Linked DNA regions of Solanum lycopersicum. The protein of the gene in region 1 binds, or shares a complex with, the protein of each later gene. Links are inferred from orthologs where the notes say so. Each region holds a gene or a part of one and is shown in the gene's direction. Other genes may lie near its edges. The genes, in order: mediator of RNA polymerase II transcription subunit 30, mediator of RNA polymerase II transcription subunit 32, mediator of RNA polymerase II transcription subunit 27, mediator of RNA polymerase II transcription subunit 17, mediator of RNA polymerase II transcription subunit 21, mediator of RNA polymerase II transcription subunit 14 and probable mediator of RNA polymerase II transcription subunit 26b.

Evidence for each region.
Region 2: mediator of RNA polymerase II transcription subunit 30 (region 1) and mediator of RNA polymerase II transcription subunit 32 share a complex: the UniProt entries of both Arabidopsis thaliana proteins name them as parts of the mediator complex. The link is inferred for Solanum lycopersicum from reciprocal best matches to the Arabidopsis thaliana genes AT5G63480 and MED32.
Region 3: mediator of RNA polymerase II transcription subunit 30 (region 1) and mediator of RNA polymerase II transcription subunit 27 share a complex: the UniProt entries of both Arabidopsis thaliana proteins name them as parts of the mediator complex. The link is inferred for Solanum lycopersicum from reciprocal best matches to the Arabidopsis thaliana genes AT5G63480 and AT3G09180.
Region 4: mediator of RNA polymerase II transcription subunit 30 (region 1) and mediator of RNA polymerase II transcription subunit 17 share a complex: the UniProt entries of both Arabidopsis thaliana proteins name them as parts of the mediator complex. The link is inferred for Solanum lycopersicum from reciprocal best matches to the Arabidopsis thaliana genes AT5G63480 and AT5G20170.
Region 5: mediator of RNA polymerase II transcription subunit 30 (region 1) and mediator of RNA polymerase II transcription subunit 21 share a complex: the UniProt entries of both Arabidopsis thaliana proteins name them as parts of the mediator complex. The link is inferred for Solanum lycopersicum from reciprocal best matches to the Arabidopsis thaliana genes AT5G63480 and MED21.
Region 6: mediator of RNA polymerase II transcription subunit 30 (region 1) and mediator of RNA polymerase II transcription subunit 14 share a complex: the UniProt entries of both Arabidopsis thaliana proteins name them as parts of the mediator complex. The link is inferred for Solanum lycopersicum from reciprocal best matches to the Arabidopsis thaliana genes AT5G63480 and SWP.
Region 7: mediator of RNA polymerase II transcription subunit 30 (region 1) and probable mediator of RNA polymerase II transcription subunit 26b share a complex: the UniProt entries of both Arabidopsis thaliana proteins name them as parts of the mediator complex. The link is inferred for Solanum lycopersicum from reciprocal best matches to the Arabidopsis thaliana genes AT5G63480 and AT5G05140.

The regions. Positions count from the first base shown.
Region 1 is NC_090807.1:2,029,146-2,033,218, reverse strand, and holds the start of mediator of RNA polymerase II transcription subunit 30, read left to right. Parts: upstream 1-1,273; 5' UTR 1,274-1,396; coding exon 1,397-1,795; intron 1,796-3,136; coding exon 3,137-3,235; intron 3,236-3,796; coding exon 3,797-3,895; 3' UTR 3,896-3,931; intron 3,932-4,012; 3' UTR 4,013-4,073. UniProt on the Arabidopsis thaliana protein: Component of the Mediator complex, a coactivator involved in the regulated transcription of nearly all RNA polymerase II-dependent genes.
Region 2 is NC_090807.1:64,223,280-64,227,121, reverse strand, and holds mediator of RNA polymerase II transcription subunit 32, read left to right. Parts: upstream 1-1,398; 5' UTR 1,399-1,544; intron 1,545-1,546; exon of another isoform or gene 1,547-1,675; intron 1,676-1,929; 5' UTR 1,930-1,972; coding exon 1,973-2,413; intron 2,414-2,959; exon of another isoform or gene 2,960-2,975; 3' UTR 2,976-3,342; downstream 3,343-3,842. UniProt on the Arabidopsis thaliana protein: Component of the Mediator complex, a coactivator involved in the regulated transcription of nearly all RNA polymerase II-dependent genes.
Region 3 is NC_090800.1:77,929,041-77,932,997, forward strand, and holds the start of mediator of RNA polymerase II transcription subunit 27, read left to right. Parts: upstream 1-1,157; 5' UTR 1,158-1,468; intron 1,469-3,957. UniProt on the Arabidopsis thaliana protein: Component of the Mediator complex, a coactivator involved in the regulated transcription of nearly all RNA polymerase II-dependent genes.
Region 4 is NC_090811.1:1,513,851-1,517,889, forward strand, and holds the start of mediator of RNA polymerase II transcription subunit 17, read left to right. Parts: upstream 1-1,239; 5' UTR 1,240-1,348; coding exon 1,349-1,437; intron 1,438-1,536; coding exon 1,537-1,756; intron 1,757-3,204; coding exon 3,205-3,318; intron 3,319-3,485; coding exon 3,486-3,571; intron 3,572-3,693; coding exon 3,694-4,039. UniProt on the Arabidopsis thaliana protein: Component of the Mediator complex, a coactivator involved in the regulated transcription of nearly all RNA polymerase II-dependent genes.
Region 5 is NC_090801.1:60,839,865-60,843,863, reverse strand, and holds mediator of RNA polymerase II transcription subunit 21, read left to right. Parts: upstream 1-1,344; coding exon 1,345-1,554; intron 1,555-2,693; coding exon 2,694-2,771; intron 2,772-2,943; coding exon 2,944-2,995; intron 2,996-3,119; coding exon of another isoform or gene 3,120-3,127; exon of another isoform or gene 3,128-3,141; coding exon 3,142-3,218; 3' UTR 3,219-3,499; downstream 3,500-3,999. Other genes in the region: iron-sulfur cluster assembly SufBD family protein ABCI8, chloroplastic, read right to left, coding at 1-406. UniProt on the Arabidopsis thaliana protein: Component of the Mediator complex, a coactivator involved in the regulated transcription of nearly all RNA polymerase II-dependent genes.
Region 6 is NC_090800.1:84,067,137-84,070,837, reverse strand, and holds the end of mediator of RNA polymerase II transcription subunit 14, read left to right. Parts: coding exon 1-885; intron 886-1,990; coding exon 1,991-2,789; 3' UTR 2,790-3,201; downstream 3,202-3,701. Other genes in the region: sec-independent protein translocase protein TATA, chloroplastic, read right to left, coding at 3,626-3,701. UniProt on the Arabidopsis thaliana protein: Component of the Mediator complex, a coactivator involved in the regulated transcription of nearly all RNA polymerase II-dependent genes.
Region 7 is NC_090809.1:61,266,115-61,270,338, reverse strand, and holds the start of probable mediator of RNA polymerase II transcription subunit 26b, read left to right. Parts: upstream 1-1,424; 5' UTR 1,425-2,391; coding exon 2,392-2,838; intron 2,839-3,445; coding exon 3,446-3,511; intron 3,512-3,612; coding exon 3,613-3,695; intron 3,696-4,224. UniProt on the Arabidopsis thaliana protein: Component of the Mediator complex, a coactivator involved in the regulated transcription of nearly all RNA polymerase II-dependent genes.

The DNA.
Region 1 (4,073 bases):
ATACTTTTGGGACATTGGTGCCCCTGTCGTCGTACTTTTGGGACATTGGTGCTCCTACCGTCATACTTTGGAGACATTGGTACCCCTGTCCCTTCGTTAGAGTGAAGGGCATATATGCTCTAATTTATGAACGACAGAGACATCAATGTCCCAAAATAATGACTGAAGGTATCTGCATATCATTTACGGTAGTTCGAGAATATATTTGTCATTTTTTCCTTTTTATAAAATAAATTTATTTGAATTTTAAAATCTGAAAAGTGTCTTATAAAATGAAATAGAAAGAATATTATATATATATAATATTTTAATTTCTATTATTAAAATGCACAATAAGACTAATTATCGATTCGAATGGTGTTGTCTTTTTTTAATTAGGTATTAATGGCACGTTGAATAAAAAAAAAGGAATCTTTGATTTGTTTCTTTCAAAATCTCAAATGGAAGTTTTTAAACATTTCTTCTTTCGCTTTTTAATTTTAATTGGAATCACACTTTTTTTAGTTTGCATCTATTTGCGATACATAGACTCTCTCTCATTCACTTTACGTCTTTTTCACTCGTCTTTTTTTCTATAAGTTTATATTTTAAAGTGTATATAGTAGTATATTACATGCATCTAGGTCTATATGACTTGACATCTAGTATGAAATTACTAATTAGAAGACGATGCGTAACTTTTCAAAATTATGAAAAAAAAACTACGTAGTAAATATGATAGGAATGTTTATGTAATCTGGTAATTTTTCTGCAACGTTAAACACAGATATTTGTGCACTTCTTTCCCCCATTGAATTTCGGGGAACTTATATACACGTACTATAATTAAAAAAATATTTACCATTTATAGCAATAATAAAAAAAAATTACTTAATCAGTTTTAATTTATTTATAATACAAGTTTTATACATATTATAAATAACAATTTAATATTACATATAATACAAATTTTAACGATGGATAATACGTTTTTCACACATTTTAATACATTTATAATAGAATGTGTCAAATTTAGTAAACAAACTTAATATATTTCAAAAAACAACTTATAATTCACGTACATTGCATACATAATTCACTTTTAATTCATATTGCAGATTTTACATAATATTGCTATAAATGACAATAAATAAAAAGTATCGCTAAAATCAGTAATTATTTATTAAAATGTATTAATTTATATAATTTTTCCTTGAATTTTGACCCAAGTAACTTGATTTTGGGCTTGATCCAGTAATACATAGCTCCTTACCCGGCCCAAAAAGTACACGCCACGCATAAAACGACGTCATTTTATGCTTAAATTAATTCTCCTTACAACTTCTCGCACCGCCGATCGCCACCACTACCGCCGCCGTCGATCTAGGGTTTTGACAAGCCGGTGACATTACCCGGTATGGAGGATAAAGGCACAATTACAAGCCCTAAAACCATACAAGAACTAGCAGTAGAAGGGCAAAAGCATTTAGAAGATACAATAGAAGCAGCACATCAAATTCTCTCCGCCATGAACGATGAACTCTGTAATCCATCACTTTGGTCCACTCTAAATACAGCTGCTGCTTCTTCTGCGGTGGCGGTGGCCGGTGGAGGAGTTGGTGCTAGTGGTGTTTTGAGTAATGGACAGCAGCACCATACAAACGGCGACATTTCGTCTGATACTTCTTCGTCTTCTTCTGCTTCAGCTCAGCATTTGGATATTGGTGGTGGTGCTCTTGATGAATCTCGTCTGCGTTATAAGTCCTCTATTGCTTCCTTGCGTTCTGTTCTTACTGCAATTTCTAATTCCCAAAAGGTAATTTTACGTATAAAAATGCAATTTTTTAAAACATTTTTGTAATTGTGTGATATCTGTAATTTAAGATAGTGATCTCAGGAAAAGTTAGTTTGATGTAATCATGAATCAACAATGGCTTGATCATAAACTAGTTCGGTTCAGCTATATGAATGAATCACTTCTAGTGAAGTCCATTAAACAGAAAATGTGTAAAAGACTGGGGCTTTGTTCAATGCCAAAGGTAGTTCAACGTGACCGCAAAGATTTGGATCCAACGTAGATAACCTCTAGTTTTAGAGGTTCCAAAGGTTAAAACTATTTGATACTGGAGTGAAGTGGTTCCATATGGATATGGAGGATTCGTATACTTCCACCACCAACCAGCTTGTGTTGAGCCATAGGTGGTGTTGGTGTTCTGTTAGATGGTAGTTTTGATTGGGAATGAAACTCAAATAGATATTCTAGAAATGTAGTTCCTTCGGAGTACTGTAGGAGAGAAAAACATTATCCAGTTTGAGCAGAAAAAAAAAGACATTATCTAGCGATAAAGGTAAATTCAGTGTGAAAAGTGTTTGGTGATTGATCTTAATCACAAAACAAGGGGTTAAACAGTTTTGGTGATTGATATGGGAAAGACATCATGTGGTTATATACTAGCACAATTTGCCCTTACCAATATGAGCAACATTTGCACATGGCAATTGTATATTTTGATGTTCTAGACATGGGGATAATATTTCTTCACTATGAATATAATATTCAGTCGTTTGATCATCCCTCGTCATCAGTTGATGAAGCTCAACTGTGCTGCTTACTCTTTTTCTGATTTGTCTTATATTCTTCTGGGTTTGTGGGTGGCTGTTGGGGGCTGGGGATGGGGGAAGATATTTAACTATGTTTTCGAGGTTGTTCTTGTTTCTGCTGTTTAAACGCACATGAGGTATAAGTGTTTATACCAAGATAAACTACTGCGTGTTATCCTTTTCAAGAAAGAATTAGCACTATAATCACATCTCAAGTCCTTGGTGTTGGTGTATGGATTGCCTTAACATTTGTGCATTGGAGAGAATCTGGTTAAGCAGTAAGAATTTTGTTTGTCAGTATGAACAAATAAATCACTGATGTTGAGTGCATTTTTGTTGCTCAACATATGTCCGACTACACATTAAATGAGTTCTTTTAGTAACTTCTTTCTTAAGAGTTGTGCAAGTATTTGCTCCGTTTTAACTGGAAGTTGTCAAACTCTCCTTTCTGTTGTCTCAATTCTCATGATTAACAAGTTATATTTTCTTGTACATTTTGGAAAGTTGTTAACTTATTGTATGATACTTCACACTCATTACTGGCTTTGTTAGCTAGGCAAAAGCATTGGAAGCTGCTTCTGCTAGTGGTTCACTATCTGCAGCAGATCAAGCGGAAATTGAGCAGCTGGAAGACCGGGCCTCTTCATTAAAGAAGGTATTGATAACATATCAAATTTTGACATATTAGAATTTCCTTGGATTTTTGTTGGTTTTTGGGATGCATGATGGGTGGGTTTGGTGAAGCAAATGTGTGTGCCAATATTTGAACCTTGACTGATGTCTTCCTTGATCCATTGAGTAATTTCTTATCCATTAAAACAATATTGAGGTATACTACATGTTACATTTTCATTCCGGACACATGACAAAATGTCTTACTGTACAAACTTTCTCAAGTCTCGATATTTGTCACAACCTCAAATCAGAACAATATGATTTTGTGATAACATATGAAAACTTGGTTTCAACATCCTCTGCTTGTTGTACATACTGTATTATTATTAATTTTATTCCTATTGCGTTAAAATTAGTCAAATCCTGTTTCATTTGCTTTATGTCTCCCCCTAGTGGCAATAAGAAGTCCTCAAGTGAAGGTAGAGTTTTATCGTACTTGAGTGCATGCCTAATAGTTTTCTATTATCTTACGGTAGTGAAAAATCAAGTTGCTATTGTGATCAAGATTTAAAGCATATTCTATTGTTCTTACAAATTGCAGGAGCTTGTAGACAAGAACAAGCATCTCAAACTTCTGATTGACCAGCTTCGAGATCTTCTTGCTGACCTATGTACATGGCAGAGTCCCTGTTCTACATGACTCTGCTGCTATAACTTCAACCATACAATTAAATCGGTGAGGTGTTAGAGATGTCAAAAGAGCAACGTATTCAATCTTAAGAAACTGTTTTATTTTTTTTTCACTTCTTTTGTACAGAAGTTACTGCTAGATTCAAAAAATTGGTCATCGCCGGACACCTGCTATATGCTGCTCGCGG
Region 2 (3,842 bases), about 62 Mb from region 1:
AATTGAAAAATAATAAAGTATAATTTACCTAAATATAGAGTAAATTAGTTCGGGTATTATAAAATAAATTAAATTCATAATATATAGCTCGGATACATTAAGTACGTTAGGAGAAAAGTAGGAGATTTTAAAGATTTTTAGAAATAGTAAGTATACTGAAAATAAGAAGAATATAAAAAGTATATTTCAGTAATTTTTCTAATAATAAATGTGAAATAAAAGTTGGTCTTATGTGATATTGTATGCGTATGAAAAATGTTAGGTCAAATCCATCGATGGCCCCTAAACTTGGCACCAATTTTCACTTAGATACCTCAATCAGGCGATGTTCATTTTAAACACCCCATGTAAGGTTCAACTGTGTCATTTTGATACTTTTCTGACAATAAATAAAAAACTAAAGGAGAGTGTAAATGTGTAATACACTCGTTGATGACGTGGCAAACAATCAATTAAATAATTACATGTATTATTTTCAGTTAAAAATAATTATAAAATCTATTTAGTAAAAAAATTTAAAATATTATTCTACGAAAATTTCTTATTTCATTACACTCAAATCTCTTTTGTGCTTTACAAAAAAATATTATTTTCTTTTACTATTTTTCATATTTATTCTTCTTTTTAGTATTGTTTTTCTTTAAAAAAAGAAAGGAGGGAGAGAATAAACATGAAATATGGGTGTTGGTATCCATTTTTCCGGCAAAAAATAGAGTGAGGTGAAGATAGACTTAGATAAGTAATACAATGATGAAGAAGAAAATGACTTAACAACGAATTTGAATAAAAAATTTGACCTCCATTGAAGGAATTTAAATTCGAAAAAAAAGGGGGTGGTGGCTTGGAGAAGAAGAAGATAAAATAAAATTAAAAATGGCTAAATTAAGTCTTTCACGCGCTATTGTTAAGTGTATCACACTCACTTTGACATGTCAGCAAAAAGTGCCAAAATGACACAACAGAACCCTACACGAGGTGTCTAAAATGAACATCGCCTAATTTAGGTGTTCTAAGTGAAAATCGATAGCAAGTTTAGGAGGTCACCGATGAATTTGACAAGTTTGAGCAATTAAACAAAATATTTAATTTAAACATTAATGTAAAATTAATTTTATTCATCACATATAATATAATTACTCATCAATAATATATAACACTAACAAATGAAAAAAAATATATGTCTCATTTTAATGTACATAGAACACTTAATATATAATACTAATGATGAAAATACAAATAAAATAAAAATTAAGATACATAAATAATACTACTCCTTTAGTCCAATAAAATAGCACTCGTATATATATAAATAATTATTAGAAACTCAAACAATTATTACTCAATTATGATTTTATTCAAATATATTTTAAAAATCTTACACTCTAAAATATTAATTTTGAAACTAAAGGGAAGCTTTGTGTTACAAATGAAAACTATTGGGGAGGAATATGTAATTATTTCGAAACAGAGTGAGGGGAGAAGAGAAAAAAACCAAAAAAAGACAGAGGAGAAGATTGTGGAAGCCATTTTCTTCCTTCAGTCAAGTAAGTAGAAAAACCCTAGTCTTTGTGGTTTTTCTTCTTTTCATTTGCTTAAATTTATTTGAGTATTTTCAAGAAATTTGTGTATTGCATCAATTTTGTTTCAGTTGATTTCTTGCTTTTGAGTGTTTTGGGTAATCATAGAAAATTGTTTCTTGGGTTTGTTTTTGTATGCAGAATTTGATAGCATAATAGCTCTTTAATTGTTGTACAAAGATTCAATTTTTAATGATGAAATTACTACAAAGATTCAATTTTTAGTGATGGTCTTGCTAAAGATTCAATTTTAATGATGTTGTTGCTATAAAGATTCAATTTTTAATGATGGTCTTGATACAAAGATTAAATTTTTAATGATGTTCTTGCTAATTTATTCTCTCCTTTATAGATTTACGGAGGTTAGTGATCAATTAGGGCTTCGAGGGGTTGTGATGGATAATCTCGTAGATGCACTGAGCAGTGCATATCAAGACTTTGTTGCAGCATCAGCTGTTGTACTTGAATCAAAGGAGAGTTCTAATGGTCAGAAAACAGCAGCAACTGATGCTGCATTAGAAAACTTTAAGCAAAAGTGGGAGTTGTTCAGGGTTGCGTGTGATCAGGCGGAGGAGTTTGTGGAATCGGTTAAGCAAAGAATTGGCTCCGAGTGTCTTGTGGATGAGGCTACAGGCACTGTTTCAGGGAAGCCTGGGCAACCAGCTGCAAGTGGCCTTCAACCCATTAGTGCTGTTAGGTTGGAGCAGATGAGTAAAGCTGTAAGATGGCTAGTGATAGAACTGCAACATGGTTCTGGAGCGAATAGTGCTTCAGCAGTACATCCCAATCCTTCTGCTCCATTTGATGCCAGATTTTCTGAAGATGCAGCTCAATAGGTATACTGAAATCTCGCTGATACTTCCTGTCCTTGTCGTTTCCGTTGACTATGTTAAATAATCTGGAAACAAATTTGTATTATTTAATGAACTATTAGTGATAGGCTTTGTATCCTAGACTTGATGATGAAGCAAATAAGTGAACATTCCCTTGGAACTGAAACTGATTCATATATAAGAGCTGCTATTACAAAACCGCTGGTCTTGTATAAATTTCCAGGTTGATAGAAAAGTAGTAGAAGCTAACAAAACTGCTTTTTAGTGGCATCATATGTTCTCTTCCATCAGAACGAATAACTGTGAGTAACCACTAGTTTCTGCAGCAATTATGTTATATGTACTATCCTTACTTTATTTATGAAGAATACTATCCTTACTTATTAAGCTAAGTTTGACCCAACTTCTTTTTTTATGATCAATTATGTACTATCCTTACTTATTAAGCTGAGTTTGACCCAACACTTCTGACAGACAAATGGAAACTAGAAAAAAAAAATTGGTTTCGTTTTATTCTGTTTTCATCGCTGTAAAACAAAGAACTATTAGTTGTGACTGTTTTCAGGTAACTACAGAGTCTGGTGATCAGCAGAGAGAAACAGAAGATCTTATGTGCCTTAGTAAGCCGCTAAAGTTGATGTTTGATGTATGAAGTCATGTTGTAACGATGTAGAAGAAATACTTTGGAATGATATTTGTAAACCACCTTTACCGCCTCCCTCCCTCGCCATCTTATGAGAAGATCTGGCAAATTTACATTTGTGTTTTCTAGGCACAGAGATTTACTTTTATCGCAGTATGAGCTACTGCACTGTTAGCTTTATTTAGATCTTAAGCATACCAACATATACAAACAGGCTGTATGTTTGTGTCTGCTATGTGTACCTTATATTCTCGAGTATTTATGTTTATAATCGATTTTTGTTAGGAAATATATCTCCAATCTTGTAAAGTGGCTTTTTAGTTAATTGTGTTAACCCTGATGAACTCATTCAGTAGGCTTTGGAGACCTCTGGAATTGTTGCAACAGAGTATTATGACGCTTTGAGTGTAGCAGTATTAGTAAATACGCTTTAGCTTACAACTACATCTTGATTGCTACACAAATGCTCAGTATCCATGTCGCTCCATTTAACCTTATCTCAGTCTAATATTTAGTTGTACTGTATAATAACTTTGAAAACAGAAGTTCTCACTTGTCACTGCACTTGGAAACGTCTTTGTCCAATAACGCAAACTAATACTAGTAAATGAGAGATCTATGATGTAAAAGTTCTGATGGTTATTGAGAATCGTCTGAAGGGATGACAAGCAGAGGCTACTCTATAAAGCTATATATATCAGAAAAAACAACGCTCTTTTCATTAATTTTATGCAGACCCAAGAAGAAATGGGTTTTGAGGCAACATACAATGCTTAAGAGCATCTTTTG
Region 3 (3,957 bases), on another chromosome or scaffold:
ACTTACCACCATGATGAAAACGAGTTATAATAATGGCGTCCATAAGATTCCCTGAAACAAGGCTCCAAATTTTTCTGACAGTTATGAACAATAAAAACCAAAAAACCCTAACTTTATCTAGATATTAACAACAACAACCACATTGATACTAAAACCCAGTATATATCAATAAAAACCACAGGATAAACACATATATTAAAAACACACAACCACAACAACATGCTCGTCACTTACCTCACACTCGTCAACTCGAAAATCGCGAATGAACTCCAAAATCGTCTGCAATCTTCGATGATTCCTTCAACAAAACACTCGAAATCACTTTAAAATCTAAGAATTTCAGTTGTAAAAGTCATTGAAAAGGAGAGATTCTTAGGGTTTTCTCGTTTAGAAACGGGTTAAAAGTGATTTGGGGGGGAATTGATTTTTAGGTTTGATGACATAATATGTGGCACTGACGTGTAATTGGGTTGGAGTGTATTGGTCAAAATTTCCACGTGGGGAAGGTTCATCTCACGCGCCTAATTACCAAAAATAATTTATTGAAATTTGACTCCACATCAGCCAAAAATATTTAAAAGGATCAAATTATAGGGGGTTAAAGGATTTATAGGAATCTTGGTTAGTTGAGGTACCTGGGGGAAAAGCGCGAACAACTTTAGGGACCTGCGTATGTATTTGGCCTATTTTTTTTCTTCAAAAATCTTGTATGTATTTATTTTAATATATATTTTATTTGTATTTCTATTTATTATAGTTTTTATTTAGAATTTTGTATAATAATATATAAAACACAAAAAAATTAGTATGATGAAAAAGTGAATGAAATAAAAAATTGAAAAGAAATAATTAAATATTTGGTGTACTCATTCTTAAATAAAATACATAACAGTTGACATACCTTTAGAATAAATACAAATTACAAAAAAAAAAGTCAAATTCAGAAACAATGCAATATAATTTTTGAATGAATACAACTATTAATTGTAAAAATTGACTAATATTATTAAAATATGGATATTATCACTAAATAAGTTGATTTTTTTGACTAGTTAGCTAAATTTCCCTTTTTATTTTTGCTAAAAAAAGACTCCAAGGACATGAGTCTCTCACTTGGGCCCAACATTCAAAACCAAATCCGGCCCAAAACCATGACTGACCCGCCCCACACTATTTCTTCAGACCCCCACGCGCCCCTCTTCTCCATTCAGACCTAAATCGCAGCATCCCTAAAAGACGAAGAACCCTAGTTCGGTGCGGCATCTCTTCATACACTACGCCGTGATTGGCACAATTTCTTGTACCGCTCAAAGATTTTAGAAACTCTTCGATGGTATTGTGTTGTAATTTACCAGAAACTGTGCCTCACTGCGAGTCTACGACCAGCGACATTGCCTGACTTTCACGATTTCTATTGACGGCTTTGCAATCTATCAGCATCTCAGTCTTTTCTTCCAAGTTTCAACTGGTAAGTTTTAATTTTCTGAATTTTAGTGCGACGATTTATGAGTTCCATAAAAATATACTGATTTCTGTTCATCTAGCAAAGTGACCTGTATTGTCATGAGACCTGATATGAATATTTTGTTAGATTGTTTCTATGCAGAAGTTGATATGCACCCGCAGTTAATAGATCTTTGGCAAAACTTTCACTTTTCAATGGTGGCAATACACAGTGATATAGGATGACTTTTAGTTTAGGGAGTGTTATCTTAGAATCACATTAGAACTATCAAGTCAAAATTAGCTCCATTAGGCTTTATTTTTTTTGGTTATTTGACAAGTCACAAGAAGGCTAAAAAAGCCTTGAAAGTTCTTGAGCCTTGGTGAAGAATTGTTTAAGCATTTAATAACTCATTTGTTTACTCCTGCTGACATAACAAGTGTCTGAGGAAATTCATTGTCCCCTTCTTGTTGCTTAGAATGAGTAAGCAGGTTACGTGGCCATACACATTTTTTAACTTGAACTGCTAATTGTTCGATAATCTGATAACTGGTGGCCTCTTCCTACTTTGAACAGCTCAGTTTACCCCCAAAAAATAATGCATTGCATGGGAATCAACCTCTTCAGGCTGCATACTCTAGGGATAGACATCAATTGGTCTGATCTCAAAGTGCATTGGAGCAAACACCTCTATACAATTGTATAACCATTTTTGGTTTCTACTTGGATCAGAAAGTTTGATGTATTTTATTTTCTTTAAATGTTGGACACCAAGAAGTCATGCAAACAGCAACCTATTAGTTTGTTTCTCCTTGGTATCCTACAAGTTGTGGCGATTCAAAGTCCCCTACTTTTTCCTTTCATGAGAATGTAGGCTACGATAACCGGACATCTCTATTCAGTTATCTTTACAGAAGCTACTAATCTATGATAAACTAAACTTGTTGCCTCTATTTTGCTCGTTATGTCCTTCATGCGGCTCTGAGAAATTTGATTGCCTTTTATTTTCTTTAAGCGTTGGACACCAAGAAGACATGCAGACAACAACCTATTAGTTTGTTTCTACTTGGTGTCCTACAAGTTGTGGAAATTCAAAGTCCCCTACTTTCTCATTCTCATGAGAATGTAGGCTACGATAACCCTACATCTCTATTCAGCTATCTGTGTGGAAGGTACTTATCTATGATATAGTGAACTTCTTGCCTCTCTTTTGCCTCTTTAAGAGATACAGCCTTCATGTGGTTCAGGGAAGTTTCATTGGCTTTTATTTTCTTTAAACGCCGGACACGAAGAAGACATGGAAACAGCAACATATTAGTTTGTTTCTCCTTGGTATCCTATATGTTGTGGGTATTCTAAGTCCCCTACTTTCTCCTTCTCATGAGAATGTGGGCTACGATAACCCTACATTTTTATACGGTTAACTTTACAGAACCTACTAATCTATGATATTTTAACCTAGCTGCCTTTTCTTTTGCCATCTACCTCAAGAGTTCCTTCATCTGGTTGACGAAATGTCTTTAGTTTGTTTAGGTGTCGGACTCCAAGAAGACTTGCAACGAATAAACTATTAGTTTGTTTCTCCATGGTATTCTACATATTTTGATGATTCATAGTCCCTTAATTGCTAGCTGTCTTTTCTTTTGCCAGTTCCTTCATCTGGTTGACGAAATGTCTTTAGTTTGTTTGAGCGTCGGACACCAAGGAGACTTGCAACAAATAAACTATTAGTTTGTTTCTACATATTTTGATGATTCCTAGTCCCTTACTTTTTATTCGGAAGTTTTAAGCTCTGATCATTTATGCTTTTGGCCTCAACCTGAAAAACCATTACACATTATCTCATCCCTTGCGTTCTATATAGCTAACAATTAGCATTCACTTGTTGGAAAGAGAATGAGGAATTTGCTGATTGGGAGCTGTATTGTTGGAAAGTATGAAGTTTTGATAGACTAAAAGATAGAACCACAGTTGTATTAGATGGGAAGAGCTGTTTCTATAGCAGGAATTTGAGTTATTCTTTTATAGAGTAATTGTGCTGAAAGTCTGTCCATTAGAAAGGCTTGTGCATTTCTTTGTTATGTTGGAAATGATACTGAGTATGTTTTCTATTGTGATTCTTTCTAGTCTTCTGTGAATACTTCTCTCTTTCTACTTTTCTTTGTAGTTGTTTCGTCCTCCCAGAAACTTAGGTTTCTATCTCTTCTAATGCATTTTCCTCTTTGGTTGTCCACGATCCACTTTCTTGTTTTTATTGTTTCACAATTATTTTGACATGAATACTATAGTTCTCCAGATGTGTACTGGTTTTTTGGTTTTGGGCTTTTGGCTTCCATTTTAGGATTTTAATTTTTTTTGAAACAATTACCATGTTTTTATTTGGTCAACTGATAGTTTCCCTGTTTATTATTAAACATACAAGAACTGACTTACAAAGTTGAAATCTTTCCAATCTACATAGTCGAAGACACCTTGGCTTTATTTTTGCACAGCAGTTTTCCAACTTTTGAAGA
Region 4 (4,039 bases), on another chromosome or scaffold:
ATAGTTGAAATTAATTAAACATATCAATGATTTAAATTTAATTGCTTCAAACTTTTAGATTTTTTTAAATAAAAAATTTATTGTTCTTTTGTATTATGAAATTATATAAATATGAAATTAATTGATTTTCTTAGTTAAATTTTACATGTATATTAATGCATCGTCAAAAACAGAATTGAAATAAATCTATTGTCAAAGAATTGCATATGCTACTACAATGTTCAAAATCAAATCATTAAGTTTTATTGAATCTATGAACTCGTGATTAGACCGATCTGTTACTGTAAAAATAATCCTTAGCCGCCAAGAAAATAATGAAACTAAGATGTTTATTGTAATGTATATAAGTAAAATTTATTCACCAATCATATTTATTTGAGTTAATATATGTAATAATATTTTTAACTGTGTTATTTTCAGTATGAAAGTTATGCATGAATATAAGACGCATAACTTTTCTGTAGACCTAGTTACTATCGAAACTACAAGACGATTTGCTAACTATCGAACCTTTTTGAATATTTAATTGCATGATTTTCTTTTCAGATAGGTTGATCTTCAAATTTTACCTTTAATAATTGATAATTGCACGATTTTTCTTTTAAATAGGTTGATCTTTAATAATCAAACTTATACCTAGCGGTACATAAGTTCTTTAAGGGCACACGTGCTATAACTTATGAGATATTATGATTAAAAAAAATCTAAACTTACGTCCCACCAAAAAAGTTATTGATTTATCATAAGAGACAAAAATTGAAATCAAGTACAAATACGATAAAAGCGCAAATAACTCATTTTTTGACGAAAAAATTACATGAATTAATACATTTTAAAATATAATTACTGATTTTAGCTATATTTTTTGTTTATTACCATTTATAGCAATACTGTAATAAGTCTGTAATATGTATTAAAAGTGAATTATGTATGCAATATATATGAATTCTAATTGTTTTTGAAATATATTATGTTTGTTTGGTAAAAAATTGTCGCATTGTACTATAAGTGTATTAAAATGTGTTATAAGTGTATTATCTATCATTAAAACTTGTATTACATGTGAATAATAAATTGTTCTGTGTAATATGTATTAAACTTGTATTATAAATGAATTAAAAGTGATCAAGCGAGTACATTTACGTAAGTTTCCCTTTTTTGACCCACCAAACCAAACATGAAAGGGCCATAGTGTGGTTCGTAATAGGCCCATGATTTAAGCCCAGATCTTAATAGGCCCATACATTAAGCGAACCAAACCCCAATTATTTTCGACGGGTATTTTCCCCGATTTAGGGCACAATTCGGGATTTCTCCGACACTTCTTCCCGGAAAATCTCCCTGAAAAATGAACGGCAATCTGGAGATTTCCGTCGACAAGCTTCCGATCAAGCGTTTAGAGTATATTGAAGAACAAGGCGCTGAACGCTTCCCTTCGTACACTTTCTTTCTCTCTCTATATAAAAATGTAGAATTTCATGCATAATCAGTTTGTGAGCTGGATATTTACATTTAGATTTTTCGTAATTGTTGCAGTGATATAGGATACGATGAGAAAACGGTGAATTTGATTAGGAGAATTGATTTTGCGTGGGCAGTGGAAAGAGAAGAGCCAAGTAAGAAGCAGAAGAAAAGCAGTAGTGCTACTTCTTCAAAGGAGACAAGTAGCAGTCAGCCATGGCAATGGCAGAGTTTGGTGGAGAATTTGCGATTGGCTCATCAAGAGCTTCAAGTCATTATCGATCTCATTCACACTGTAAGTGTTAACATTAGAATTTTGGCTTATAATTTTAATGATTGAACTTAATGTCTATATAGTTTTGATAGAAAATAGTTCAAATTAAGTTTTAATTGTTCTGATATTTACATCTGGTCTGGTGTTTGTGTGGTGTCTGGTCAAAGACTAATGTGTGATAATTGTGAGATTTTGAGAATAATGAAGTTGAATAGAGAAAAAAGAATGGTGAGCAGGTTATAGGTTTGGGATTTTATTCTTTTTGAGTTGATGATTTCTAAATTAGTAATTTGTACTTAGTAAATGGATTGCATATGATACCTACAAAGTGGGCTAAAACTACTAGGTTCTGCTGAACCTGCTTCCCACACTCTAGCTCCGCCTTAATACGGAGGTTTAGTCAATGCCAACTAGTGTGCGATTGAGGTGTCGGTTGATTGATTGATTATTTGTTGGTACATGTTTAGTATGTCTTGTGCCTAGCTGGTTGTGTTCCATGCACTTACCATAAGAGGAAAACTTTGTGTTTTAGCCTGATAATGTGCTTGAAAGTGGAATACATTTGTCTTATGCTGTACTCATTATTGGCCAATTGAGTTTTTGTGGCATGCAGTTTTAGACTGAATGATACAGAGTAGTGTTTGCATCATGGATAAATGTTAATAAAATTTCATCTATGAGAATAGAGCACACTGGTTTTATTCCAATGTTGAGGTTTATCACGAGAGTGGGTTGGAACATTTTTATTTAGTTATCAATATTAGTAAGGTATGAATCTAATTCAGAAAATACAATAGAGAACTGTAAAATACACACATGTATGATCGTGAATGTACTTGAAAAGTGGTTAGAGAAAGAAGATCAAGACATCTTATTTACAACAGAGGAATTATTAACTACCTCTAAGTTGTTCCAGTAGGGAATTTCATGTGTGCGTGATAAAGAAAGGCCTTTTGGAAGGTGTAAAGTTGGATACACCACATATTGGATTTTTGAATTGAATCAACGTGGCTTTTCTAAATTGCAATAGCTACACGAGTATCAAGCTACTAAGCCACACTATGGAAGTCTGGGAAAGGGTGGTCGAGATGAGGATGAAGAGGGGTGTGTCAGAACCAATTCAGCTTGAAGCCATGAAAGGAGATTGTTTGAGCAGTATAGGGAGAAGGAGAGGGACTTGTACATGGTGTTCATTGACCTAGAAAAGGCATATGATAATGTCCCTAGCATATCATTTACTCCTCATTATCAGTATGATAGAGACAACTAAGGATTAAAAAATTTGACTTAAGCTTTCGGCATTAGTTATTTAAGTGGCATGAGATTCGTCAGTCCATTTGCTCCTTCAATCCCTTTTTGCCCCTTCTCCCTGGCATTTAAGACAGCACCTTTCTTAGGCATAAGATGAATAAATTAGCAGGAACTGTGGATTATGTATTGCATTGTTGACTCTGCTGTTCTGCATACAGGTGGAGGCAAACGATGCAGTGACAGTGGCTGGCATGACCAGGCCAAAGCAATTGCCCAACGAGCATCTGTCAGACCTTGCCGTGTCTATGGCAACCAAGCTGCAATGCTTCCGTGTATTTTACTTTATCCCTTCTGCAAGATGTTATGGTTGATGTATAAGTTTGAGTTAAACAAATAATCCACTGATTATCTTTAAGTCTAATGGTTTGTTGACAAAGTATAGTTATGCACTTCATTAGCAAAGCTGTATGTGTTTCGTAATTTGGCTTTTCTTTTGCAGCATTTGGGGAAATATTTTAAGCAATCTGCCAAAGCTTTGGAACAACAAGTGGCTAGAGAAGCAAGATTTTATGGTGCTCTTATCAGGTTTGTTCTTTGTGGCTACGAACAGTATTAGTACATTGTGAAAGATATGTGTGCAGTCATTTAGACTACCATGTCTTTGTGCCTTTCCTCAAAATTTTGGCTATTTCCTGATGAGCTGATAGATTGCAGCAAAATTGGAAGGTTAAATGGCATCGGATGGTTGCTGCTGCTTCTGGAAATGAAGGGTTTTACATTGATTTATTTGACACTTCATTATATGATCCAGCGGTTGCATTTCGCCCATCTTCTGCATCTGTGGTGCGTATTGAGCATGACCCAGCTGGGATGCTGGCTGTGAATTTACCGCCAAATTCCTGCCGGACTCTTCAATTTGAGTTTCTCGGTGCAAGTACACCTGCTGGTGTTATAAAACATAGCAGACTGAGACCAAAGGTGTCTTTTGAGGATTCTTCTGGAGAAACTAAGAGAGAAAAAAGTGATGATGAGCATGTGAGAGAAACTCATTCG
Region 5 (3,999 bases), on another chromosome or scaffold:
ACCATTTCGGCTCTTTCATTTTAACAAATTTCTCATACGATTTCAATCTATACTCAAGCATCCATTCAGGCTCATTCTTTCTTGATGAAATTAACCTAATAGTATCCTCCGAAAGCCCTTTTGGCAGCGCAAAAGATTCAATATTTTCATTAAAACCCCATTTATAGTCTCTTTTCAAGAATTTCTGAAGTGGGTCGCCTTCATTTGAGATTGATAAAGATGATTCTTTACCTGGAACTTCAACAGTGGCCTTCGCATCAGCAGCTTTAATCTTGAAATTACCTGGATTTGAGATTTTGGGGCCGGGTGAATTAGGCAAAAAGTTATACCCTTTTGGGAGTTTAGGCTGCTCAGCGATGGATTGAGGACAGAAGTGTGAGATTCCGTTGGTGAGAAGAGAAGCCATAGTTGATGCTTAGAAGATAGAAAGAAGCAGGATGAGAAGGCAAACATAAATTTTATTTGTTTCTTTTTTAATTTTTTGTGGTGTCTGATCTAAGATGTCGTATGCTGACCACGTGCATCTTTTCAAAGCCTAAATTACAACAACAAAAAAAAAACAATTAAAAAAAATAGTAAAGCTAAATTATTTTTGTTGCATTTTATGTCATTTAAGCGCTCACTTGATAATGATAAAGTCAGACTTTATGTTGAAAGGTTTAAAATAAAAACAAGTAAATGTGAAGAGTTATGACTGGTGTTTGTGCATGTTACTTTACAAATTAGGACTGGTGTTTGTGCATTATCTATAAGAACGGTGAAACTCAGAAAGTGACGAAATTTACTCAGAAATTCAATGGCGTTCATAAGAGAAATTTGTAAAATCCTGGGGAAAATCGTATAAGAGAGAAAATCGTCTAAGAAAAAAAAAGGGAAATCGTATTATGTTTTAGAGAAGTAAAATGAATGAAAATGAGAAAAAAATTAATAATTAAGATTTATGAGTCTACATGGAGATGATGTTTTTTGGTGCTCATGTGGCATCCATATGGTGTCCACGTGGCGTTCAGGTGACACTTAACACACCTTTGTTAAAATTAAGGGTAAAAATAACTCAATACTTTAATAGAAGGGCTAGAATTTAATTTAAAGATATATGTGAGCTAATTCGGATAATTCAGAAATATTTTTGAGCATTTTTCGTAAAATTTAATTGAAATAATGGTTAATTTTAGGTCTAATTTTAAAACAATTGTAACAGATTATCGAATCTACTTCGGCTCTACCCGGACCTCCAATTCTAGGGTTTTCAGGTAAGTTCTTCTCCTCTGTTTTCTATTCCTTTGTTCGATCTTTTCTCAAAATTCACCATTTTTGTTAGCAATAAAGGGAAGGATTTGGAAGATGGATATCATATCACAGTTACAGGAACAAGTAAATACAATTGCAGCTCTTGCTTTCAACACCTTTGGTACTCTTCAGAGGGACGCCCCTCCTGTGCGTCTATCACCTAATTATCCAGAACCTCCACCTGCTAATCCCACAGAAGACTCAGCTAATGTTGCAGAACAACCAAAGCAAATGAGTGCTGCTTTTGTTAAGGCTGCCAAGCAGGTGAAACTCCATACTCCATACCTTCACTTTTTCTGCTTATTCATCAACGAATATGAACAAGCCACAGACCAGGGTATAAAAGTAATCTGCGTGTACTTCGAGAATAGGGAATTTTCTCTTTTTTCGGAAGATCAAGATAAACTATTTAGTTTAGTTTCCTTTTTTGTGTAGACATTTTTTTTGTAAATGAGCCTGAATAAGTGATTGAACTTGTAGAATCCCTTTAAGAATAGGAAGGTATATCTTTGTGTTCCCTGTAAATGTTGTTGATTGCACCTTCTTGGTGCTGTATTACAAATGCACTTACCATTCCTTCAAAAAATCATTTTTGGACAAAATAATGTTTCTTTTGTCTTCTTTTGACTAGTATGTTTACTTTTGGAAACGTCAAATCTTTAGATATATGATGTGTTTGTGCAGTTCTATACAAGATAACACTAAGTTGTATCTTGGCTCATCATATCTAATGCGTACATGCAGTTCTATACCAGATGATATTAAGTCTTTGTTTGTTCAGACTTGAGACCTGCGTGGTTGAGTTCAAAGACCTTAGTCCTGATTCCTGAGACCAGTGTGGTTGAGTTCAAATACCTAGTCTTTTGTCCTTAGTTTAACGAGAAATACAATAATGCTATTAGCATCACCAACTACTTCAATAAAACTTGACTGAATCACATAATGGCGGACAAATTCCAACTACTAGCTGGACAGGATTGCATGCCTCTAGGGATTTTTACTAGAGAACTTGATGTCAGCCTCTCAGGTTTGGTAACCATGACATCTAGGCCAAGACTCACCGGGTAAACCTGGTGTCAAAACCGGAAAACTGAGTTCTAGTTTATCGCCCTTTAGCTGTCTTCTATGAAATGTATATGGACAACCCTGTGATTAGTTCTAAGGTGTTCAAGTTTACAGTTATGTTTCCCTTGTTTTCTTCTTGGCCTCACAATCAGAGGTTGTCTAATCTAGCATCCTATCAAACTTAAGCAGCACAGCCGACACTTGAGAGTAGCCTTGAGGATTGTGTGGCTCTAATTCAGACCAATTGCAAATTTTCATTGTGATCCTAAAGTGTATGCTTTGCTACAATGTCATTGTATTAAATCTATCTTCTCTTTTTCTTATCCTTCTTTGAGCAGTTCGATGTGTTGGTTGCTGCTCTTCCTTTATCGGATGGGAGTGAAGAAGCCCAATTGAAAAGAATTGCAGAACTCCAGGTATATGCTTCTTTGTGAATAATTGGTGGAATTCACTTTTTGACATCCTCTAATTCTGATGTGTTATAGCTTAACAGTATTTAAACTAAAAAAATAAAGAAGGATAAATAAAGATTAGTCTGTCTATTTTGGGCTTAGTAGTCTTACTCGGTTGTGTATGTATGTGATGTAGGCTGAGAACGATGCAGTTGGCCAAGAACTTCAAAAACAACTGGAAGCTGCAGGTAAGAGTTTGTTTTTCCCTTGCTTTCTTTCTGAAAGATAGTGGAAGCTGTTCTGATTAGGCTAAGGTCCAAATTTCCGTTTTCCTGTCTGTATTATTAATTTTTTGTTTATTCTGAGACTCAGTTTGCTGATTTTGGTGATTTAGAGAAGGAGCTAAAGCAGGTCCAGGAGTTGTTTAACCAAGCAACAGATAACTGCCTGAACTTGAAGAAGCCAGAATGAATAAGGTAGTAGATATTTCAGTTTGCTTGAGGAGCCCATTCTTGCTGGAATATACCCTGGAGGAACAACAAATTGATTGTGTCCATGTCTGTTATGGGTACATTTATTAACTAATTATAATTAGGCATGCTCTGACATTATTTTTTTTTTAAGTTCTTGGCCACTGCTGAAGAAAAGAATTCAGTATACTATTGTATCTGGTTTAGAGCTGTGTTTATAGAATGAAAAGAGGTAGGGATAATGTGCCTAAATAGCAAAAATCAGCAGTTTTTTTGTCTCCACATCCTTAAATATTAGTGTCTTCTGTGCCACGTGTTCAATTTAGAAGTTGGCTAGTTTCTCTGCTCCAGCACTTGTCAAAAGTTATGCAATTATCAGACTGACTTCGTAAACATGTGATCCCAAAACATGGCAGCTGGCATGCACAACTACCCTACCGAGTTGATGATTTTAATTCGTAGACACATTTTGGGCTGTGTCTGGGTACTTTGGGAGTTTAGATTGCATATCGCCAGAATATTTTCTTGTCGTGCTGGAACTGAGGCGTGGCCGAAAACAAGTAGCAACCACACAAAATATATAGAAAACCTTGTCTGCCTAATATGTAAGCGTGACAGCAACGAAGAGAAGAATTTACAGCCATCGGGGTTTGTTGAATGCTAAAATTTAGATAGAACGTGGGTCCAACTATGACTGGTAGAAGGACTCAACCACGTCATATGACAATTGGCATCAATACATGAATGAAGAAACTAACGCAGGAGACGTATTGAAGACTACA
Region 6 (3,701 bases), on another chromosome or scaffold:
AAGCAATGTAAACTCTAGCATAAATCAGCCTGCACCCGGAGCTGGAGTTAATCCTGTTTCAGCTTCTGTGGGTACACTTGGCGCACACAGCCATCCTAGTGCTGCAATGTTGGCAGCTGCAGCTGCCGCTGCTGGAAGAGGTGGTCCTGGCATTGTTCCGAGTTCACTGCTGCCAATAGATGTCTCTGTTGTACTTCGTGGTCCGTACTGGATTCGCATTATTTATCGGAAAAAATTTGCTGTTGACATGAGGTGTTTTGCTGGAGATCAGGTTTGGTTGCAACCAGCAACACCACCTAAAGGGGGGCCAGAAGTTGGAGGATCTCTGCCATGTCCACAATTTCGACCTTTCATCATGGAACATGTTGCCCAGGAACTGAATGGAATTGACTCTAACTTTACTGGTTCTCAACAAGCAGTTGGCGTGCCTAACTCAAATAGTTTAAATGCTGGTTCACAGCTTCCAGCTGCAAATACGAACAGGACTAATCTCTCTAATTCTACTGGGTTAGCTCGTCCAGCAAATGCTGTAACTGGTTTCAATCGTACTGCAAATGGTCTTCCAGCAGCATCAAATTTAGCTGGGGTAAATGCAGGGATGCCTTTGCGCAGAGCGCCTGGTACTGGTGTACCTGCTCATGTCAGAGGAGAACTAAATACTGCAATTATTGGACTTGGTGATGATGGAGGGTATGGTGGTGGATGGGTTCCTCTTGTTGCTCTCAAGAAGGTTCTCAGAGGCATTCTAAAATACCTTGGGGTGCTATGGCTCTTCGCTCAGTTACCGGACCTTCTGAAGGAGATTTTGGGATCTATTCTGAAAGATAATGAGGGTGCATTGTTGAATTTGGATCAGGAGCAGCCAGCCTTACGCTTCTTTGTGGGGTAAGGTTCCAATCATTCTGTATTCTATCTAGTCCCCGTCTATTCTTATGCTGACTGAATTGTGATGGAGAGAACTTGGGAATGGGAAGGGACCTCCTGAATCTCAATTCTCACATGTCCTTTAAATTGGATGTGTGTAAACCTGGCATTTGAAGAGAATCTCCAAATTCTTAGTTCTCACATTTTCCTTTACGTTGGACACGTCTTACATGAATTTTGACTGGCTATGCATGATTTGAACCCTTCTGAAGTCATGTTTATCATTTTTCCGGTTCTCCTTGTTTTCCTGCCTTCAGCTTGGATTTTGATTTCTCATTTCTGCTTGAATTGTATTGCATGTGTTCATTGTCATTCAAACATTGATACTTAGCTTTGATTGTCTTTCTTAATCATTCGTTGTGCTTGGAGTAGGTCGAACTTTAGTTATGTTATGAGTGTCGAGGCTATACAGTAAAGTAGTCATGTAGTGTACTCATTCAGCATATTTTCTTACGATTAGCTCAAAGAAGTACTGCTATAACCCCTGATAAATATCCGAATCTTTTGCAGATATTTTCTCTGTGACTTCATACTATTTTTTATGTTATATTTTTGGAGTCAGGCAAGTCTATTGTAAAAGAAGAGTCTGGGAACAACATGGATATCATGTTTCTTTTTGGTTTTTGTGCTCAAGGCTTTTCCGTTTAGAACCATTTTCCCGGGCCTGTCTAATTTCATTAAAGCTCAGTCTAGTTAAAAAAAAAATCTCACCTGAGTTTTGTCCATTTTAGTTTCACATAGTTACTTTTAGTCTACTGGTTTGATGTTCAACATGTTCTGCTTAATGTCTTAAATTTTCTGACTTGTTAGTACTCTGTTTCAATTGGCTAGAAAGGTCGGTACTTTTTAAGTGTATAATCTGAATAATATATCCCATTTTGGGGATATCCTTGTCTGATGTTTTTTATGGTGACCTTTTAATCTTTTATGTCTAGAAAAGTTGCCTGCTGTTTCAATATATTCCACTGATTACTGGGGTGTTAACTAGTTTTATTTGGTTTTTTAAAAGCATGTATAATATTTTGTGATCTTGAGTTCCTATTTCCTGATAATTTTGTTGCTGCAGGGGCTATGTATTTGCTGTTAGCGTTCATAGGGTTCAACTTCTCTTGCAAGTTATTAGTGTCAAGAGGTTTCATCAGTCGCAACAGCAGCAGCAGCAAAATCCCGGAAGTGCGCAAGAGGAATTAACTCAGTCAGAAATAGGAGAAATATGTGATTACTTCAGCCGCCGTGTTGCGTCAGAGCCATATGATGCTTCTCGTGTGGCATCATTCATTACACTTTTGACGTTACCTATTTCTGTTTTGAGAGAATTCCTTAAACTCATTGCATGGAAGAAAGGGTTGTCTCAAGTGCAAGGAGGTGATATGGTCCCTACACAAAAATCCCGTATTGAATTGTGTCTTGAGAATCATGCTGGATATAGTATTGATGGTAGCTCAGAAAATACATCTGCGTCCAAAAGCAATATTCACTATGATCGGGCTCACAATTCTGTCGATTTTGCACTTACGGTTGTTCTTGATCATGCACATATACCTCATATTAACGCGGCTGGCGGTGCTGCTTGGTTGCCCTACTGTGTGTCTGTTAGGTTGAGATATGCATTTGGTGAGAACCCAAATGTTTTGTTTCTGGGAATGGAGGGGAGCCATGGTGGACGGGCTTGCTGGCTGAGAGTTGATGATTGGGAAAGATGCAAACAAAGAGTAGCTCGAACTGTTGAAGTGAATGGAAATTCCGCTGGTGATGCCAATCAGGGAAGGTTAAGGGTTGTCGCAGACAGTGTTCAAAGAACACTGCATGCGTACCTTCAGGGGCTGAGGGATGGTGGTGGAGTTGCTGCAGGCATTGGATCGTGAAATAGAGAGATTTCAATGAAGTAGATCTAAACAATACACAAATGTAGTGCTGACTAATCCGAAAAATTGCCTTGCAAGATTAACCGGAAGAACCAGCCAGTGTAGATTTGGATGTGGCTAACCAGCTGGGATGTAAACTAGACTTCCTTTTTAATGGGTATATGCAGGCTCCTTTGTACAGGTAAAAATAGATCTATTCGCGTCTTGCTTCGAATGATACACAGAGATCTGTTCTGGATGGTCAAGCTCGACTGCAATTAGAAGGATCGCTTAGTGTTGTAAATTGTTGGAAGTGAAGGCTTAAATTATTTCTCCCTAAATTTCTGTAAGTAGCAACACTGTAAGACAGTTGGATGTGTTTCTCTAATTCTCCCCATATGAAATTGAATGGATACACAATTTATACAGATAATTACTATTAGTTTAGAGATGTGGCATAGTTGTTTTAATTGTAGAAAAGATCAATTCATTGTTAGAGATGGATAAATGAGAAAATTACTTTGCTGGATCAGCCAAGCAATACATGTAAAAGTGAGGGGGCATGATTGATGGTGTATTTTAGACCCATATATGTATGTTGCTAAAAATTATATATAAAAATTCGTTGCATGCTAAAACAAAAATGTAGCAGAATATGCAATCATATCGAATTAATGAAGAATTGGAGCTAAGGAATGGTTAACTTACCTAAGTTTTGATCTTAACCTGTCAATGAGGGAAAAGCCAGGAATGTAAAATTAAACACAATAGCTCAACACAACTAGTCAAATACAAGAAACAATCGTGTTGTAGAAAATAGTAAAAGCCTAGAAGCTATAGCTAGAGGCAAACTGCATTTATGAACTTTCCTTGGTGCTTGGAACTTTTGTGTCTTGCTTCTCTTCTTGACTAACCTCAATGGCCTTTTCGACT
Region 7 (4,224 bases), on another chromosome or scaffold:
TAGGTATCAAGTAACAATTATTTTGTCACCAAAATATAATTTTGTAAAAAAAATATTATGATAGTGCAATTTTTTAAAATGAAACACGTAAGATAAGAAAATCCAACATAACAATGAGGACCGAGATCATATAAACGTTACCTCGTTATTGATAAATGCATTGGAAAAATAAATAAAAAATTAAAATTTTGTTTTGTTTTGGATCAAACAAAAAAATTCTGTTTTTTTAATGAAGTTTAATTCCTTCGTATATTTATTTAGTATTATAAATTAAATTCTTTCGAAATAGAAAGAAAATCTACTATACAACACTAGCAATAGAAATTACAAACTTCAACAAATAAAAAAAATTATATGGTACTTTTATTTACAAAATACAATGCAAAAATAAGTAATTTGTATGTTTATTAGGATTTTAAGGATAATAACATCTTTATTGAAACTCTTTTTCTAATTTTAAGTTAATCAAAGAACGAACAAGTCCTAAATAAATAATTATAATAATTTCACATAACAATAACTTGTTCATTAAAATATAAAAAGAAATATAAATTTATATATAACATATTATGATTTATAAACTACAAAAAAGGAAACAACATGAAAAAATCTAATATAACAAAGGGTGGTATAAGACTAAAACAGGAGAATTAATTTTTTAGTCCACTTGCTATTTTTAAAAAGGCAAAGATAAATTGGAGAAAATTTAAGTTAAACTTTATATAAATAAAAAATTTACCTTTTTTATTTGAAGTAAAAAAATAAAACTCCAAATGAATAATAGTATCAAATAACAATAGTTTGTCATTGAAATTTGAATTTAATATAATATTATGATATTTTTTATAAACAGACAGTATTATGATAAAAAAATTTAATGTAAATATGACATTTTATACGAATCAAACGTAATAAGACTTTTTCTTAAAAATTAAAATAAACAATGTGAATATATATTTATCCGTATTAATTAAGCATCTTATTATTTTAACAACTTATATTTCTTTTTATATAAAAATAAATCAATTAAAACATACTTTAAATATTTTTTTATTTTTTATTTTCTTACTTTTAATATATAAAAAATAACATTTTTTTCTTATTTTACCATCGATATTAATTGCTTACTCCTTGCTCATTTTTCAATATCCAAGACTATACATCATTCATCAATTAATATATTCACAACAAAATTATTATTATTATTACGAAATATATTAAAAATAGATAAATAAAAATAAATGAAGAGGATATATTATTTTGTAATTCCATAAAAAAAAACATATATAAAAAAAGAAAACTACTTCAAAGCAAAGAGATAAATCACTTCCTTAACTTGAAAATAAAAATCATTTCCTTTCAGATTTTTCTTTTATTGTTTTTCTATATTATGTCACTATATTTATTTATTTCTTATCATCCTTCTTTGAACTGAACACAGTTAAAAATAGTTTTTCTATGTCAAAGAGATATGAATAAAATCTATATCCATATCATTTCTTTAAACTTTACTTATGAACCTATATCAAATATGTTATTCTCATCGTTATCGTTGTCATCATCAAAGTTATCCTTATGAATTTCATCCATAAAAGAAGTTTTCAAAATCCAATTTCCATTCTATATACATATCAGAATTCGATTAGTTCAAATTTCACACTTATTCATACTTAAAATATATATTTTATATACTGACAATCTCTCGAGTTAAAAATGAAGGAATCAGAACCATCTCACCACGATCCATGCTAATGACCGAAGAAAATTGATCCTTATCACCTACCCCTAACCCCTACCCCCCACCCCCAACAGAGAAAAAACAATATTTTTTCTTCCTCTCTCTCGTGTCTCTTTGAACCAGCACCTTGTATTGCTTTTTTTTTTACAGAGAGAGAAATATAATTAAAATAATAAAAGATAGCTAGAGAGAGAAAATCTTCTATACTTTTTTTTTAACATATATTCTTTTTCTCTGGAAAAATTTCTTTCAATCGGAATAATTTTTTCTAGATTTCTCTTCTTATATCTCACCAAAAACTTAATCGGATTTTTATTTAATTTTTTTAATTTTGTTTTGTCATTTTGGGTTTATAGAGTTTCTATCATATGGATTTTTCCTAAAAAAAAAGCATAAAAATCTGTATCCGATTGCATTTTGCAGAACTGAATCGCCGGTGACACTGATTATTCAGTTTCCGATCATCGGAAAAAGTACCTAATCGGAAAACCAGAGGTTTTTATTGCTAAAAACCTTGTTTCCGATTAGAATTTGTATGATTTTCTTGTGGGTATAATTAAAATCGGATAAAGATTGAATTTGTATATTTGGGTATTGATAAATAATTGATTTTACGATCTGGGTTGATTTGTTTTTGCTCTGAATCATCAGTTATGGCGAAGAGTAGTGGGACTTTGGATAAATGGAGGGACTATTTTCGTACTGCAAATTCGGATATATTTGATATAATTGAGTATGCAGTGATGGTTGCTGCTGTTGATTGTCCAAAGGAATTTAAAATGAGAAGGGATAGAATTGCTGAAATGTTGTTTACATGTAAAGTTACTATGTGTTTTGGTTGTGAGAAAGTTGATTTAGCTGTACCAATTGCTGGTAATGATGATGAAGGAAAAATTAAGAGTAAGGATGAGTTTGGTGGTAGTAAAGAGAGCAAAGTTAACAGTAGGATAGATCATCATGATGTTGAGATGAATGTGAATCAAGTTAGCAATTATAGTTATGGAGAAGCTGAGGCATTAACTGAGGAAATGGAGGAAGAGACTCAGACTTTTGGGGAGGTGATGAGGATCAAAGATGTCATTGATAACAACCAAGCTGAGGTTCATTTCATCTCTATTGAATTTTGGTTATACTGTTGATTTGAAGTATTTTGCTGTGTTTGGATTTGTTCAGTCAAGAATTGGTGGACTCTGTGTATGTGAATTTGAAGTTTGTGTACTTTTGGGGTTGATCAAGAAGAAAATCTTGATAATTGAGCTTAAATGTTGTTAAATTTTTGGAGTTTCTGGTGTTGTATGACATATAACAATGGTTACTTTTATGGTTGAATTTAATGATTTGAAATTTCTGTTCTTGTGGGGTTGATCAGGAAGAAGAATCTTGATAATTGAGCTAATGTTGTAAGATTTTAGAACTTTTGTGGTTGAATTTGATGGTGATTCTATTTTCTCTACTAGTGTCTATAACTGGAAAATCTGATATGAGGTTGTTTTCATGTCACAGTTAGGAAACCTTTATGCTTTTCATTTCCTTTTTGCCCCCTTTTTGTTCCTTTGATCTAGTTGTACAAGGATGTTGCTTTCTTTAGCTTTAAAACAATGTATGAAGCTACTTTTAAACTCTTTATATCTTTTGCTATTTCACTTGCTTGGTAGTTTTGAGCTTTCCTCTAGTAATCGGGTTTTGAGTTATTGTTCTTTTTGACAGTCTGCAGAGTTGTTTGAGTGCTTAAGAAGGCTTCAACTAATGGCTTTGTCTGTGGAGACTTTAAAGGTTTGATCTTTTGACGCTTCCAAAATTTCATCTTCCATTTATTGTGGTTACTGTTTTTTAAATTTATTCTGGATGGACATAATTGATTGCTTCTATATCAGGCCACAGAGATTGGAAAGTCGGTTAATTCTCTCAGAAAGCACAACTCAAAGGATGTTCGGCATCTATCTCGGACATTGATTGAGTAAGTAACTCTTGCTTTATTGCTGAAATAACTGTAAGAATGTCGTCAAAATATGTATGCACAACACAGTTCTAGTAGTCTGATCCGGGGTATCTTTAATGTGGCTGAATTTGTTTTATCGCAAAGGTTTGAACTTTTGTCTTCGAGTTGAACTAACATGTCGTATTGGTGGCTCTGGCAGCTTGCTTTGTCGGTTGTAGTTTTGAAGCTATTATTACTTTTTAACGCTTGCAACTGTTTGTCGCTTACCGTTTATCTTTACCGTAAAATTAAGATTTCATCATAACTCAATCATCAATGCATACTAATGATGGTGATTGCTTCATTTATCGAGTGCTGAATTTGTTTTTATCGCAAAGGTTTGATCTTTTGTCTTTGAGTTGAACTAACATGTCTTTTTGGCGGCTCTGGCAGCTTGCTTTGTCGGTTGTAGTTTTGAGCTATTATTACTTCTTAACGCTTGCCACTGTTTGTCGCTTACCGTTTTTCTTTAATTGATGTTATCTTTAATGAAGATTCCATCATAACT